2 linked regions of the Pelodiscus sinensis genome follow. The protein of the gene in region 2 interacts with the protein of the main gene of each other region in a biochemical or structural test. Links are inferred from orthologs where the notes say so. Each region holds a gene or a part of one and is shown on either strand. Other genes may lie near its edges.

Region 1 (7,035 bases), on a different chromosome or scaffold from region 2:
GTCCTGCCTGAGGGGATGCCTGGGGGAGATCTGATGTGGGGAGAACAAATTACATGTTAGCCACAAAAAAAACCAAACCGCCCTTAACTTGTGAGCATTTCAGAAATCTAAAGGGAAATTTGCACATGAAAATCTCATTTCTAAGGGAACAATGAGCAGCAAATGCCACCAAGAGAGCCCAACTACACCTGTGTTTGCACAAGAGATCAGTAATGCACCTCCTCCCCCCCCTCGTCAGGCCCCCAGCAGCTATTGAGTTCAATGGGAACTGAGAAACTAAGTCGCTTGCCCTTAGGCCTTAGTGTTTCAAATCATGGCAATAGCTCACATGCCCCAGGATCAATGTTCCCTGTCAGCTGGGTAACCATGAGGCCACTCAGGAGATTCCAATGCCACCTAGCTGATCAGCAGAGCACCCAAAGTGAGGTTTTGTTTCTGTTGGTAGTGCACATTCACACACGCTTCAGTGCACATACATTTATTCTGCACACGGATAAAAAAAAACACATCCGTGCGTGGATTGAAAAAGATGAGCAGGAACATTGCCCAGAAGCTGCTCTTTTCATCGTGTGTGGAACCAATATAAGCTGTAAATGGTTTCCTGCTCTACATTTAGTAGGAGTGTGCAGATTTATAGAACTTATTAGTAGGGGAAAACAAATTATTATTACAAGATCACGACTAGAGATGGGGAAAGTCCACCCATCTTACAAATGCAGCACCCCTTAAAGGAGGCCCCATCAGACATGCTAATAAATATTTGCACGGCTTGGTGGATGGTTCGCATTTCCCATCAGCTTGCTAGCATTTTAAGGCAAATCAAACACAAGGCTGAAATACATCCTGTCCCGTTGAGTACTATGGGGTAGGTCTGGGCAATGCTTACTTGCTCTGAGGAGCACCGACTCACTCACACAAGTAGTCTTATTATGTCTCCAGCAGCAATAAAGGTTACACAAGTCTAGCCCTATAGTAGCAAGAAAATGTTATTAAGAAAACAAAAGGAACAAAAACAGGGTTTCGGGGGCGGGGCAGGGGAGTCCCAATTTTAAACCAGCTTCAAATGCCTGCTTAGGAGGGCAGCCTTGATCTGGAAGGGGACCACCAAATAATGCTTGGTTATGACTATTACCGCCCAGCTCTTAGGTAGGCTTTGCACCAGTCCATCACTAAGGACTTTACAGAGGAGATCAGAATCATTATCCCCATCTTGCAGTTAGGGCACTGACCACAGAGAGGCGAAGTGCCTTGCCCAAGGTCATTCAGCTGGCCAGTGGCAGAGCCAGGGAAACCAGGCTTTGTTTCACAAGTCCCAGTCCAGTGCTCTACCTAGTAGGCAATGCTGCTTCCACTAGAGTTTTATTTCTATTCTGCCAGCTTTTCCAGGATGCTGATATTTCAGTACCCCACAGATGGGCCTCACACCGAATGCACAGCTCCCGATGCATCGTGCCAATACTTCTGAACACCCATTTCCCATTCTGTCCCTAGATGGCAGCAGATCCTTTATTGATACATCACAGAAATGTTCCACCCTCTCTCTACCCAGCTGGCAGCAAGTCTCCCAGCCTGGGTCCAGAGACTGGGGCTGCGGAACATGCACTAGTGCTTAAAAAACAGCCCAAACTGCAGCCCTAGCCACAGTGCCAGAGCCCTGTGTGCACAGCTAGTTGTAGAGCATTAGCCCCACTAGCTGTGGTCTACTGATCTGGGCTGGGAGGCTTGCTGCTGCGGGCTGCTTAGATGGACCCTACAGTACCTATGTTGTCCAATTTTACAGACCGTGCTTGATGGATAGCCATGATTTTAGAAAAAGCAGCTTGTGTGATTGATATGGCAATTAGTTCCTGCCAGATCCCTGAAACGCCTCCTTAAATTCAGCGTCGGTATCTTTGGCATCATCAGATTAAATAATTGTGGCCTGGTCGATGAAAGATCTATACCGAACAGTGCAGCGGATATGAATGGACTTTTGGGACAACGCATGTGAAGTGGATTTCCTGGGAAACACCTACGGGACGGTGAATGAAAATTCCCTCCCTCTGTCCTCCCCGGTTCTGCAAACACCTACCTTTTGCAGCTATGTCCCTTAGGAAGGGGCCACTGACCAATGTCACCTGCCTGTAGCATCTGAAGACCTAGGGCCAGGCTGCGCCAAGAAAAGCAATCTGGGCACGAGCTGAAGCCGCTATGAACTAGCAACCATTTATTTTTGGGAAAGTAACTTCTAGGGTTCTCTTTTAAAGCAGTTATGCTTTATAAATACCTACCCACCCATATAGTGCACATGAAAGTCTTAGTTTTATTTTTTACAGTAAAGCTAACACATTTTAAAGGACAAGGGGTTTTCTGTTTTAGCTTTATGATGAAGGCAGTGGTGCATGGCAGACGTGTATTGTCCGACCACTGCTGTCACACCATAGCATACCACAGTTCAAGTGCTAGGAGTTTGATTGTGACAGCTGCTGAGTTCACTGCTCCCAATGCTGAAAAACATCAGCCTATGTTTCATTTTAAGCATCTGACTAGCCCTGTTGACTCCAGTGGGACTGACTGTGTGCATAAAGCTAAGCATGAGCCCGTGTTTTGCTGGGTTAGAGCAGGCATACTCTGCACCTTGCACAGCTAAGCCTTAAGCAACCATTACATTTTACTCACAAAGCCCCATGTTGCAGATACAGGCATTGCATGATCCCTAAAGCCAAGGCTATGTGAAATTTAAGAAACTTTGTGCTACATAGAAGGATCTGGTAATGGTATGTACTGATGCTGAATGGTCGGTTGTGTACTTAGAGCTTTTAAATACCAACATATGTTGATACCAAGAGTGTGGAAAGACGGGAGAAATTTTAAACAAAACCACCTTCAATGCAGGTCCAATCCCTACAGTATCAAGGTTTCTTTTTGTTGCTCTATTCGTGTTAACAAATGAGGACTGATCTTGCAGCGCTCATGCTAGGAAATGTCTGCCAACGTTAACAACTGCTCGACATGGAGGACTTCCAAAAAGTTAGCATAAAAACAGGACCATACTGGTGCCACAATGATAAGACATTCTTTTCCCCGCAGGCAACGATGCGAAGACTGCCCCCCAAAAAATCTGTTTCTTACCAAGCCTAGAAGACAAAAAGAAAAAAAAAACAAAACAATTTTCAACACAAATGATCATGTGACAGATGAGCTAAACTTCTCTCTTAAGTGCAGAGCCCTCATTACAACCTTTAAGGCTCTATTTTCAAAACATGGCCTCTGTTTTTCCCCCCAAAGGCATCTTTGCACTTGCATATGCAATATTTTGTACACCTTATTGTGTACATGAATGATATAATTCACTGGACAGAGATCCCCGTGCGCACGCACACACTATGTGAAAGTGGAGGATAGTCAATGACCGGGATTGTCAAAGGAATTTCAGGGAGTTAGGTATTCAAATCATGTGGGAGTCTAAATCCCTTAGGCTCTGTTGAAAGCCCTCCCCCTCCCTGCTGCTGAGGTGTAAATTCTATCATTTATACATTCCACGCCAAACAAAGAGAGCACATGGAGCTATACAAATTCATGTGGAGGATGAGCAGGGCCATTTTGATCCATTAAAATCTCAACAACAATGAAGTGCTACCCTGGCCACCCAAACAGACTTTGGGCCCTCCGGAAGTCAGCAGTTTTATCACGGACTTCAGTAAGACCAGGATTTCACCACTAGATTTAAAGCAAAAGATCTGTAGCCAGCTACACCTCTTTTCGACTCAAGGGAATACCTCTCCCTCATTGCGGAAATCAGTTTGTAGAGAGGATGAACCTCTCTAATCCAGCACACGCTTCATTCGCACTTCGGTTTGAAAGCGAAGCAGAATTTGTATTTGTCACATGTGGTTTTGTTCTTAACTCTTCCATAGTCATCGGTAACCATAACTAACTATGGTAACTTTCCTTCCCTCCCTTTCATATAAAAGGGTGTGCAACTGCCTTACTCACCACTAAAGCAGCTCATAAACAAACAACTCCTTTGTACAAGCCTTCAGTAAAGCCAGGTCCTAGCTGGACAACTCCTTCAAAGGGGCAGAAGGGCCAGCTAAGTGGCATTGGTTTAATGCTAGTTGCAAACTTTGGCTCCTGATCTGAGCTTCCCCAAAAGCCAGGACTACTCTGACTTACCAGGGTGCTTGGCTCATGCTCATTTCCAAAAATAAGCAAATGCTGCATTAACAGAACATCTTTCATCCCAAAATACCTACAAAGCATCTCGCAAGCCCTAAATGGATACACAGAACTACATCCAGATCTCATTTCTTCCGTCACAGAGATGCAGCTGTTTAAAAGCCTCAGCAATACTTAACCCAGCTTAGAACAAGGAGCGAAAGACACAATAGCCAACTACACTGTGTATCAAGTTGCTATACATGGAATCGGGCAGGGGGCTCTTGCACAAAAAAAGACCACTGGTATCCCTAGTAACAGCAAGCTATCTAAATCTAAATCTAGAGTAGGTGTGATCTGAAAAATGTCATAAGTGCAAACGCCCATGAATGTTGGGAAAGGGAGTTCACCAACATGGATTCCAAGGGAAGAGTAGCACCACAACCAGTCACCACCCTCTGTCAAATCTGAGTCCATAGTGATCCAACCCAGTTTGATTTGAGAGCGTGGATGGGACGGCCATGGGTGGCAGGTAATGTAAGCAAGGGAAGGCATTGCCTTCCCAGAATTTCCTACGCTGCCCAGCTGGCTGGGAGGGGCTGGGGCCACGTGGCACGGCAGCCCCCATCCACAGCTGGCGTTGAGCAAGGCTTGACTGGGGGGCGAAGGGGCATAGTCTCAGGAGAAGGGGTGTGGCATGGGTAAAAAGGGAAGGGCTGGGGCTTGCCTTCCCCACCTGGGCCTTCACCCACTGCCCATAGTGACAGTGGTACAAAGGTGTCATGGACTGGGCCTACTAGACTGTTAGCCTCATGTAACAGTGGCAGAGTGTTTCTACCAAGCATACGTTTCAGCAGCGAGCCTTCATCAAAACAGACGGCTACGTTCTACTTTACAACAGGTCTAGGTGGTCTCCAAAACTTCCTGGTTATTTTGTAATCTGAGAAATGGGAACTGGAACGATGCATGCAGCCCTCCCTCCCCCCACACCTCTCCCAAAAAAGAGCCCAGAGTGTAAAAGAACCCTCCCCACCCCCAATTCCCACTCCACTAAGAAGAAGTTGGAAAATCCCAGGCTTACTTTAGAGGAGGGACTTCATCTATTCTGTTGCCCAGCTGTGATTCGTGGGACTTGCTTCTTGTGAGGGTTGGAAAGTTTGGTAGCAGCTGAAAAACCTTCCGGCTAGGCGGAGGGGGAGTCCGTGGGGGTTTCAATTTGTGCCGCGTTTTTAACTGAGGTGTCGTTGGCGGCGTGATGGTGATGCTGTGAGGAGTCCTAAATACCACGTGGCCACTGTGGCTCGGGTACGCTAACGGTTCCAAGAAGTTATCTGCATAGTTAGAAGGTCCATGGCTCGAGGCGAGAGACTCCGAAGAAGCGATAGCGGACACCGACACAGAGCGGGCCTGCTGGCTGTTGCCCTTCGACAGATGCAGGAGACTAGAAGTCCACACAGGCCCTGGTGGGCAGGGGGGTTCTGCAGGGTGAGCAGAGGTTCTCTCTCGGCGCACGTCGGAATTATTCCACAACAGGTCTTCTTTTAACTCCCCACCTGTTCGGCAACAGTCTCAGTGTTAGCAATGGACAGAAAATCAGCACAACGAGACTTATGGACAATAGGAGGTTCTCCTTGGGCAGACCACTAGTTCAATACCTCAGAGTCTTCTAAACAGCCAGCTCAAACTCCTTGCCAATGACGGCAACAAAAACTGTTCCCTTTTCCTAATGGTAGCCAGGAGCTACGAAACCTAAATAAATCTCCTGCCTCCTAGAAGGTGCATGACCAGCTGGGGGCTAGATTTACAAGTTCTTTAGGTACCTGAGATGCAGAGAGTTGCCTGGTGGGATTTAAAGAAGTGTGCCACTGAGACAGGCACCTACCTGCCATAAACTGTTGAAAGGAGTTAAGTCAGTTAGGTGTCTAACTCACATTGAAAGTCTTTGGCGGTTAGGCACCTAATTCACATAGGGTACGTGTGCACAGCGACGTTATTTCGAAGTAGCGTTATCTCGAAATAACTTAGTCCGCCTCTACACAGCAGGCACTTCCTTTGAAATAATGTTGACATACTGTCAAGCTGGAGGACTTTACTCCAACTCCGGTAACCCTCATTTTACGAGGAGCAAGGGAAGTCGGAGGAAGAGTGTTTTATTTTGAAATAAGTGCTGTGGAGACACTCCCAGTTTCGGTATAAGCTATGCAATTGAGATAACTCGAAATAAGCCGCGCAAATTGAGCTAAGCCCTGCAGTCTAGATGCACCCTTAGTCACTTCTGTAAATCCCACTAGGCATTTATCTACATTTATACATGACTCGATGCCATTGTAAAGCTGGCCTAACATCAGAGAGGCAGAAATGTGTCTGAATGATGATTGTATCAAAGATTACAGCCCCCCAACCCACATCCACGGCTTGGGGAGGGGGAAAGGGGGAGTCGTGTCCAACCAGAAAAATTATGTTTAAAAAAGTTGTCTCTGCCTGTCACTTGTCCCCATGCGTCAGTAGTGCTTAGCCACTGTCTGTAGCGTATCACAAACCAGGCACTCCAGAGTATCAAGGCATAACTGCCTCTGTTAGAAGGGCAGTGCTCCTCCTCACATTCCAGCATTTTGACACATTCTAGTAACGTTCATTTCATCAGCACCAGTATCTGCTGGGTAGGCTGGAGGGGACTGAACCTGTCGAGTCTTTCGTAACGTGAGCTCTCAGAAGGGACAATACTTCCTTCTCTAATGCCTCTCCGCTGAAGATCTCCACTAAATTCCATCATCCCCTTAGGAGGCAGGTGAGTATTATTAGAGCCCTAGGAGGGATGTAACCATTCCACTGAATTGGTTAAGTGTATTGTTTAACTGGTTAACTTATTAAAGATGGGGGGGGGGGGGGGGAAATCCA
Region 2 (6,980 bases):
TGATCCAAGCCAGGCAGAAACACATTGACTGGCCAAAACATTACAGAGGGATCTGTTTAGACCTGTGTTGTGCAACCAACACTAGTGATTGGGTTGCATGAGAGGCCCTCGATCTCACTGAGCTGCAGTGGTGCACAACCTGCGGCCCATGGTCTACTGGAGTTCCACCTGCGGCTCAAACACCCCTTTCTGTCCCCTTCTCCCATGCCTCTTGCACACTGAGGCATTGGAGTCCTGCACTTCCTACTCTTCCCTCCTCTCTCCTAGCACTCTGAGTGCTCCATCCTCCCCACACACAGAGAACTCAAATGCTGCAAATCAGCTATTTCTGGCTGTTCATGCTCTGGGAGGGAGGGGAAGGAACATCAGTGAACTAATGGCAATCCAAATGTACTGGGAGGGAAGGGGAGGAGTAGGAAGTGTGGGACTCCAGTGTGCGAAAGGGGCATGGATGGTAGACAAGGAGTGCATGGGCCTCAGGTGGAACTTGAGTGAGTTGCCTGTGACCCACAGACTGCCCATCACCGGTTTAAGCACTTTGGAAGTTCAGATAAATACAAAAGGCCACTAAAATTTTCATTTTTAATTATTTTCTTCCACCATGCAGCTTTGGCCATTAGGCTGAAGATGAATGACATTCTGCAACAAAATATGCTTAGTTAACTTTTTGTTCAATACAGCCGTCAGCCCGCAGGTTGTATCAAGGGCTAAAGCAAATCAAGATCATAGAAGTGAGAGATGACTATTAACATAAAATCCAAATCCCTGCCAATTCAGTGACTGTTCTATGCAGCACGTTTTTTAATCCTTTGTCTGGTCTTGTTTTAAAATGTCTTCACTAACAGGGTTTCCACCAATTTCCCTTGTTCGTGCTCTAACTTGGAAGTTTTCTTAATATTCAGCCTAAATTTTCCTTTTATTTATTTCAACACAAAACAGGTGTCTCTCACCAATCACTTTCACTCAGACCCAGGAATGGTTTCTAATAGATATCTGGTTATATCTATAATGAAAGAAACTAATAATGCTCACTGATTTTGCTTATTTGTGATTCAGAGCTGAATAAACAGACAACTCATCTGCACACCTTTTCACATACAAAGACCATTTTTTCCTAAAATTTGTCCTTTTACACATGATTACTTTGAGGTAAAAATAAGGTTCTTACTTAGAGAGGGTTTATCTAAGTTTGGGGTTTGGTTATATTATGTTTCTGCATACAGTTGATTTGCATATTAAATACTTCAAATAAAAAGCTAACAATATAACTGTTTAAGTTAAACTACTAAAACATGCAGTTTTATTTACATGTTTAACATTCATTGTCAAATGCTACCCTTTAATCAAGGGAGGACTTTCTGACTTTGCAGATTTCAGAAAAGAGAATCTTTCAATACCATCTGAACAAGTGAAAATAAAGCTATTATACTAACTGTTAATAATCATTCAAACTAGAGATGGAAAGATATATAATCTAGGTCACCTAGTCCTCTCCGGCCAGCACAGAATTGTTCTCTGTTTACCAACTGCTTTATCTGCTTGTTTTAGCAATTAATTGATGTTTATAAGCAGTATGGTGTTAAAATATAAAGGTATATGGATTACTATTCCCAAATTCAGCAACACGAATATGAGGTAGTACTGCATTTGCACGGTAAAGATACACCATTAAAACACTGCAGTGTTTTAGATTACTTTCAGCATTACTATTGGCAAACCAAGCTCTTAAGATACACTTAGTTAAACCGTAATCTAAGTAATTTAATAAGCAGGCCTAGAACCTCAATGATAGCTCTCATAGCTACACTACTCTTCACACACCTGTGAAACATCTGTTTAACAAAACCCAGCTGCCAGAACAGTGCCTCGAACCCGTGTCACAACGGCAGGAACATAATACATACCCACAATGCCAAGCTCCACTTTGGGGATTTTAAATTACATAGTTTGATTCAGTACAGTATGTTTCATTCAAATTATACCTATGGTTTACGTTCGCAAAGAGAGCGCCAATGTCTGCTAAAAACAAATGCACATTTTTCTCTGGCAGTTTTTCTTGGGAGACATTTTTGTCTCTGTACACCATACGCCCACCCCTCTCTATGCATGCCATCCTTTGTGTACAGCAGTCACACTCAAGCACACGAGCGACGCGGCCACCAAAGCATTACAGCACACACGTTCCATAGGTGACAGGCAGGTCTGGCCACCCCAGCGCCCACTCCCCCAATACACACCACGCGGGTTACTTACATTCTCAGTGTCGCGTTCATTCACCGTAGGCAATGGAGTTCTCGTGGACATTTTAATTCGCTCGTGCTGGAGCACCGGCTACTTGCGACAGCAAAATAAAACACCCCTCCCCCCCAACAAAAACCTAACCCACCCACCCCCAAAAAAGCTCTGTCAATCAGCTGCAAGACAGTGGTTACGAAGGGCCACCATCAAGGGACGGGGTGGGGGGCTGCTTATTTCCACGGCCACCCCCCCACTTCTGAGCTATATTCCAGCCTGGCGAAGGAGCAGCGTCTCCCCCTGGGAGTCCTCGGCGCTCATCCTACAGCCAGCTCAGGAGCCCGGCTCGCAGAAGCGGACGGGTGAGGGTGGCGGGGGGGGAATCCCCGTAGAGCGCAGCGGTCGGGGGGGAGGGGAGGCGAGGAAACAGCCCGGAGGAGGCAACGGGGCGCCGCAGAACCCGGCCAGGAAAACAAGCCGCCTCTCCGCAGCCAGCTCCGAGCCCTGGCAGCCAGGCGGGCCCGCTCCGAAGCGCTTCCCTCTCCCTTCTCCTCGCCTCTCCCCCCCCTCCCCAGCCCCGCTTCACCGAGCCTTCGCCGCCATGCTGGGCCTCTCCCACCCGCCGCCGCCGCCCGGCTGGCCCGGGCTCCCCTGCGCCTTCCGAGCCGGGTGTCAGCAGCCCCGCGGCCGGCTCCGGCAGCCCCCGCCCCCACTCCGCCGCTGCCTCAACGCCGCCCGCTCCGGGACGGAGGATCCAAGATGGCCGCCCGGCTTCCTTCGCTCCGACTTGAACCGGAAGAGCCCGCCCCCTGCCCCGGTGCTGGGCTGGGCAGCCGGCCGGCGCCGACTGCTTGTTGCTAGGGGAGGGGACTGAGCGCCCCGGCGTAGCTGTGGCACCGGCACCAGGCAGCTGCCCTGCGGGCCCGCCAAGGCTCCGGGCCTGGAGCTGGCACCAGTAGCACCGCCCTGCTCTCCTCACGCGGCATTGCCACCGCCTTGCGCCGCTACATGTAGCATTGGCACAGACAGCGCCGCCCTGCACCCTCCCCCCCCATGGCACTGCAGCATGGCCCTGCTCCCCCTCTATGTCATGGGCACAGATAGCGCCGCTCTGCACCCCCACGGCGCTGGCAGCATGGCCCTGCACCCCTCTATGGCATTGGCACAGATAGCGCCACTCTGCACCCCCACGGCGCTGGCAGCATAGAATCATAGAATAATAGGACTGGAAGGGACCTCAAGAGGTCATCGAGTCCAGCCCCCCGCCCTCAAGGCAGGACCACGCTCCGTCTACACCATCCCTGACAGATGTCTATCTAACCTGTTCTTAAATATCTCCAGAGAGGGAGATTCCACCACCTCCCTTGGCAATTTATTCCAATATTTGACCACCCTGACAGTTAGGAATTTTTTCCTAATGTCCAATCTAAACCTCCCCTGCTGCACTTTAAGCCCATTACTCCTTTTCCTGTCCTCAGAAACCAAGAAGAACACATTTTCTCCTTTCTCCTTCTCTCCTCCCTTTTAGATATTTGAAAACCGCTATCATATCCCCCCTTAATCTTCTTTTTTCCAAACTAAACAAGCCCAGTTCATGAAGCCTGGCTTCATAGGTCATGTTCTCTAAACCTTTAATCATTCTTGTCGCTCTTCTCTGTACCCTTTCCAATTTCTCCACATCTTTCTTGAAATGTAGCGCCCAGAACTGGACACAGTACTCCAGCTGAGGCCTAACTAGTGCAGAGTAGAGCGGCAGAATGACTTCACGAGTTTTGCTTACAACACACCTGTTGATACAACCTAAAATCATATTTGCTTTTTTTGCAACAGCATCACACTGTTGACTCATATTCAACTTGTGGTCCACTATGACCCCTAGATCCCTTTCCGCCATGCTCCTTCCTAGACAGTCGCTTCCCATCTTGTATGTATGGAACTGATTGTTCCTTCCTAAGTGGAGCACTTTGCATTTCTCTTTATTAAACCTCATCCTGTTTACCTCTGACCATTTCTCTAACTTGCTAAGGTCATTTTGAATTATGTCCCTATCCTCCAAAGAAGTTGCAACCCCACCCAGTTTGGTATCATCTGCAAACTTAATAAGCGTACTCTCTATCCCAATATCTACATCATTGATGAAGATATTGAACAGTACGGGTCCCAAAACAGACCCTTGAGGAACTCCACTTGCTATCCCTTTCCAGCAGGATTTAGAACCGTTAACAACAACTCTCTGACTACGGTTATCCAGCCAATTATGCACCCACCTTATCGTGGCCCTATCTAAGTTATATTTGCCTAGTTTATCAATAAGAATATCATGCGAGACCGTATCAAATGCCTTACTAAAGTCTAGGTATATGACATCCACCGCTTCTCCCTTATCCACAAGGCTCGTTATCTTATCAAAGAAAGCTATCAGATTAGTTTGGCATGACTTGTTCTTCATAAACCCATGCTGGCTATTCCCTATCACTTTATTACCTTTCAAGTGTTTGCATATGATTTCCTTAATTACCTGCTCCATTATCTTCCCTGGGACAGACGTTAAACTGACCAGTCTGTAGTTTCCTGGATTGTTCTTATTCCCCTTTTTATAGATGGGCACAATATTTGCCCTTTTCCAGTCTTCTGGAATCTCCCCTGTCTGCCATGATTTTTCAAAGATCATAGCTAAAGGCTCAGATACCTCCTCTATCAGCTCCTTGAGTATCCTGGGATGCATTTCATCAGGACCTGGTGACTTGCTGACATCTAACTTTCCTAAGTGATTTTTAACTTGTTCTCTGTGTATCCTATCTTCTAAACTTACCCTCTCTCTGCTTGTATTCACTACGTTAGGCACACCTCCAGACTTCTCGGTGAAGACCGAAACAAAGAAGTCATTGAGCATCTTCGCCATTTCCAAGTTTCCTGTTACTGCTTCTCCCTCCTCACTAAGCAGTGGGCCTACCCTGTCCTTGGTCTTCCTCTTGCTTTTAATGTATTTATAAAAGGTCTTCTTGTTTCCCTTTATGCCTGTAGCTAGTTTGATCTCATTTTGTGCCTTTGCCTTTCTAATCTTGCCCCTGCATTCCCGTGTTGCTTGCCTATATTCATCCTTTGTTAGTTGTCCTAGTTTCCATTTTTTATATGACTCCTTTTTTATTTTGAGATCATGCAAGATCTCCTTGTTAAGCCAAGCTGGTCTTTTGCCATATTTTCTATCTTTCCTACACAGCGGAATTGTTTGCTTTTGGGCCCTGCTGGGCATTGGCACAGATAGCGCCGCCCTGCACCCCCACGGCGCTGGCAGCATGGCCCTGCACCCCTCTATGACATTGGCACAGATAGCACCGCCCTGCACCCCCACGGCGATGGCAGCATGGCCCTGCACCCCTCTATGGCATTAGCACAGATAGCACCGCCTGCACCCCCATGGCGCTGGCAGCATGGCCCTGCACCCCTCTATGGCATTGGCACAGATAGCGCCGCTCTGCACCCCCACGGCGCTGGCAGCATGGCCCTGCACCTCCTCTATGGCATTGGCACGGATAGCGCCGCCCTGCACCCCCACGGCACTGGCAGCATGGCCCTGCACCCCCTCTATGGCATTGGCACAGATAGCACTGCCCTGCATCCCCACGGCGCTGGCAGCATGGCCCTGCTCCTCCTCTATGGCATTGGCAGAGATAGCGCCGCCCTGCACCCCCACGGCGCTGGCAGCATGGCCCTGCTCCTCCTCTATGGCATTGGCACAGATAGTGCCGCCCTGCACCCGCACGGCGCTGGCAGCATGGCCCTGCTCTTCCTCTATGGCATTGGCACAGATAGCACCGCTCTGCACCCCCACGGCGCTGGCAGCATGGCCCTGCACCCCTCTATGGCATTGGCACAGATAGTGCCGCCCTGCACCCTCACGGCGCTGGCAGCATGGCCCTGCTCCTCCTCTATGGCATTGGCACAGATAGTGCCGCCCTGCACCCGCACGGCGCTGGCAGCATGGCCCTGCTCTTCCTCTATGGCATTGGCACAGATAGCACCGCTCTGCACCCCCACGGCGCTGGCAACATGGCCCTGCACCCCTCTATGGCATTGGCACAGATAGTGCCGCCTTGCACCCTCACGGCGCTGGCAGCATGGCCCTGCTCTTCCTCTATGGCATTGGCACAGATAGCGCCGCTCTGCACCCCCACGGCGCTGGCAGCATGGCCCTGCTCCTCCTCTATGGCATTGGCACAGATAGTGCCGCTCTGCACCCCCACGGCGCTGGCAGCATGGCCCTGTTCCTCCTCTATGGCATTGGCACAGATAGCGCCGCTCTGCACCCCCACGGCGCTGGCAGCATGGCCCTGCACCCCTCTATGGCATTGGCACAGATAGTGCCGCTCTGCACCCCCACAGCGCTGGCAGCATGGCCCTGCACCTCCTCTATGGCATTGGCACAGATAGCGCCGCCCTGCACCCCCACGGCGCTGGCAGCATGGCTCTGCACCCCTCTATGGCATTGGCACAGGTAGCGCCGCCCTGCACCCCCACGGCGCTGGCAGCATGGCCCTGCACCTCCTCTATGGCATTGGCACAGATAGCGCCGCCCTGCACCCCCACGGCGCTGGCAGCATGGCCCTGCTCTTCCCCTATGGCATTGGCACAGATAGCGCCGCTCTGCACCCCCACGGCGCTGGCAGCATGGCCCTGCTCCTCCTCTATGGCATTGGCACAGATAGCGCCACTCTGCACCCCCACGGCGCTGGCAGCATGGCCCT

What was found. The genes of interacting proteins can lie anywhere in the genome.
Region 1: of the proteins of MARK3 (region 2) and KSR1, one has a biochemical effect on the other in vitro, tested with the Homo sapiens proteins (2 studies listed by BioGRID). The link is inferred for Pelodiscus sinensis from reciprocal best matches to the Homo sapiens genes MARK3 and KSR1.

What each region holds. Positions count from the first base shown.
Region 1 is NC_134731.1:10,839,953-10,846,987, reverse strand, and holds the start of KSR1 (kinase suppressor of Ras 1), read right to left. Parts: upstream 3,014-7,035; 5' UTR 887-3,013; exon of another isoform or gene 31-886; 5' UTR 1-30.
Region 2 is NC_134714.1:20,612,561-20,619,540, forward strand, and holds the start of MARK3 (MAP/microtubule affinity-regulating kinase 3), read right to left. Parts: upstream 3,024-6,980; 5' UTR 2,305-3,023; coding exon 2,254-2,304; intron 1-2,253. UniProt on the Homo sapiens protein: Serine/threonine-protein kinase. Involved in the specific phosphorylation of microtubule-associated proteins for MAP2 and MAP4. Phosphorylates the microtubule-associated protein MAPT/TAU. Phosphorylates CDC25C on 'Ser-216'.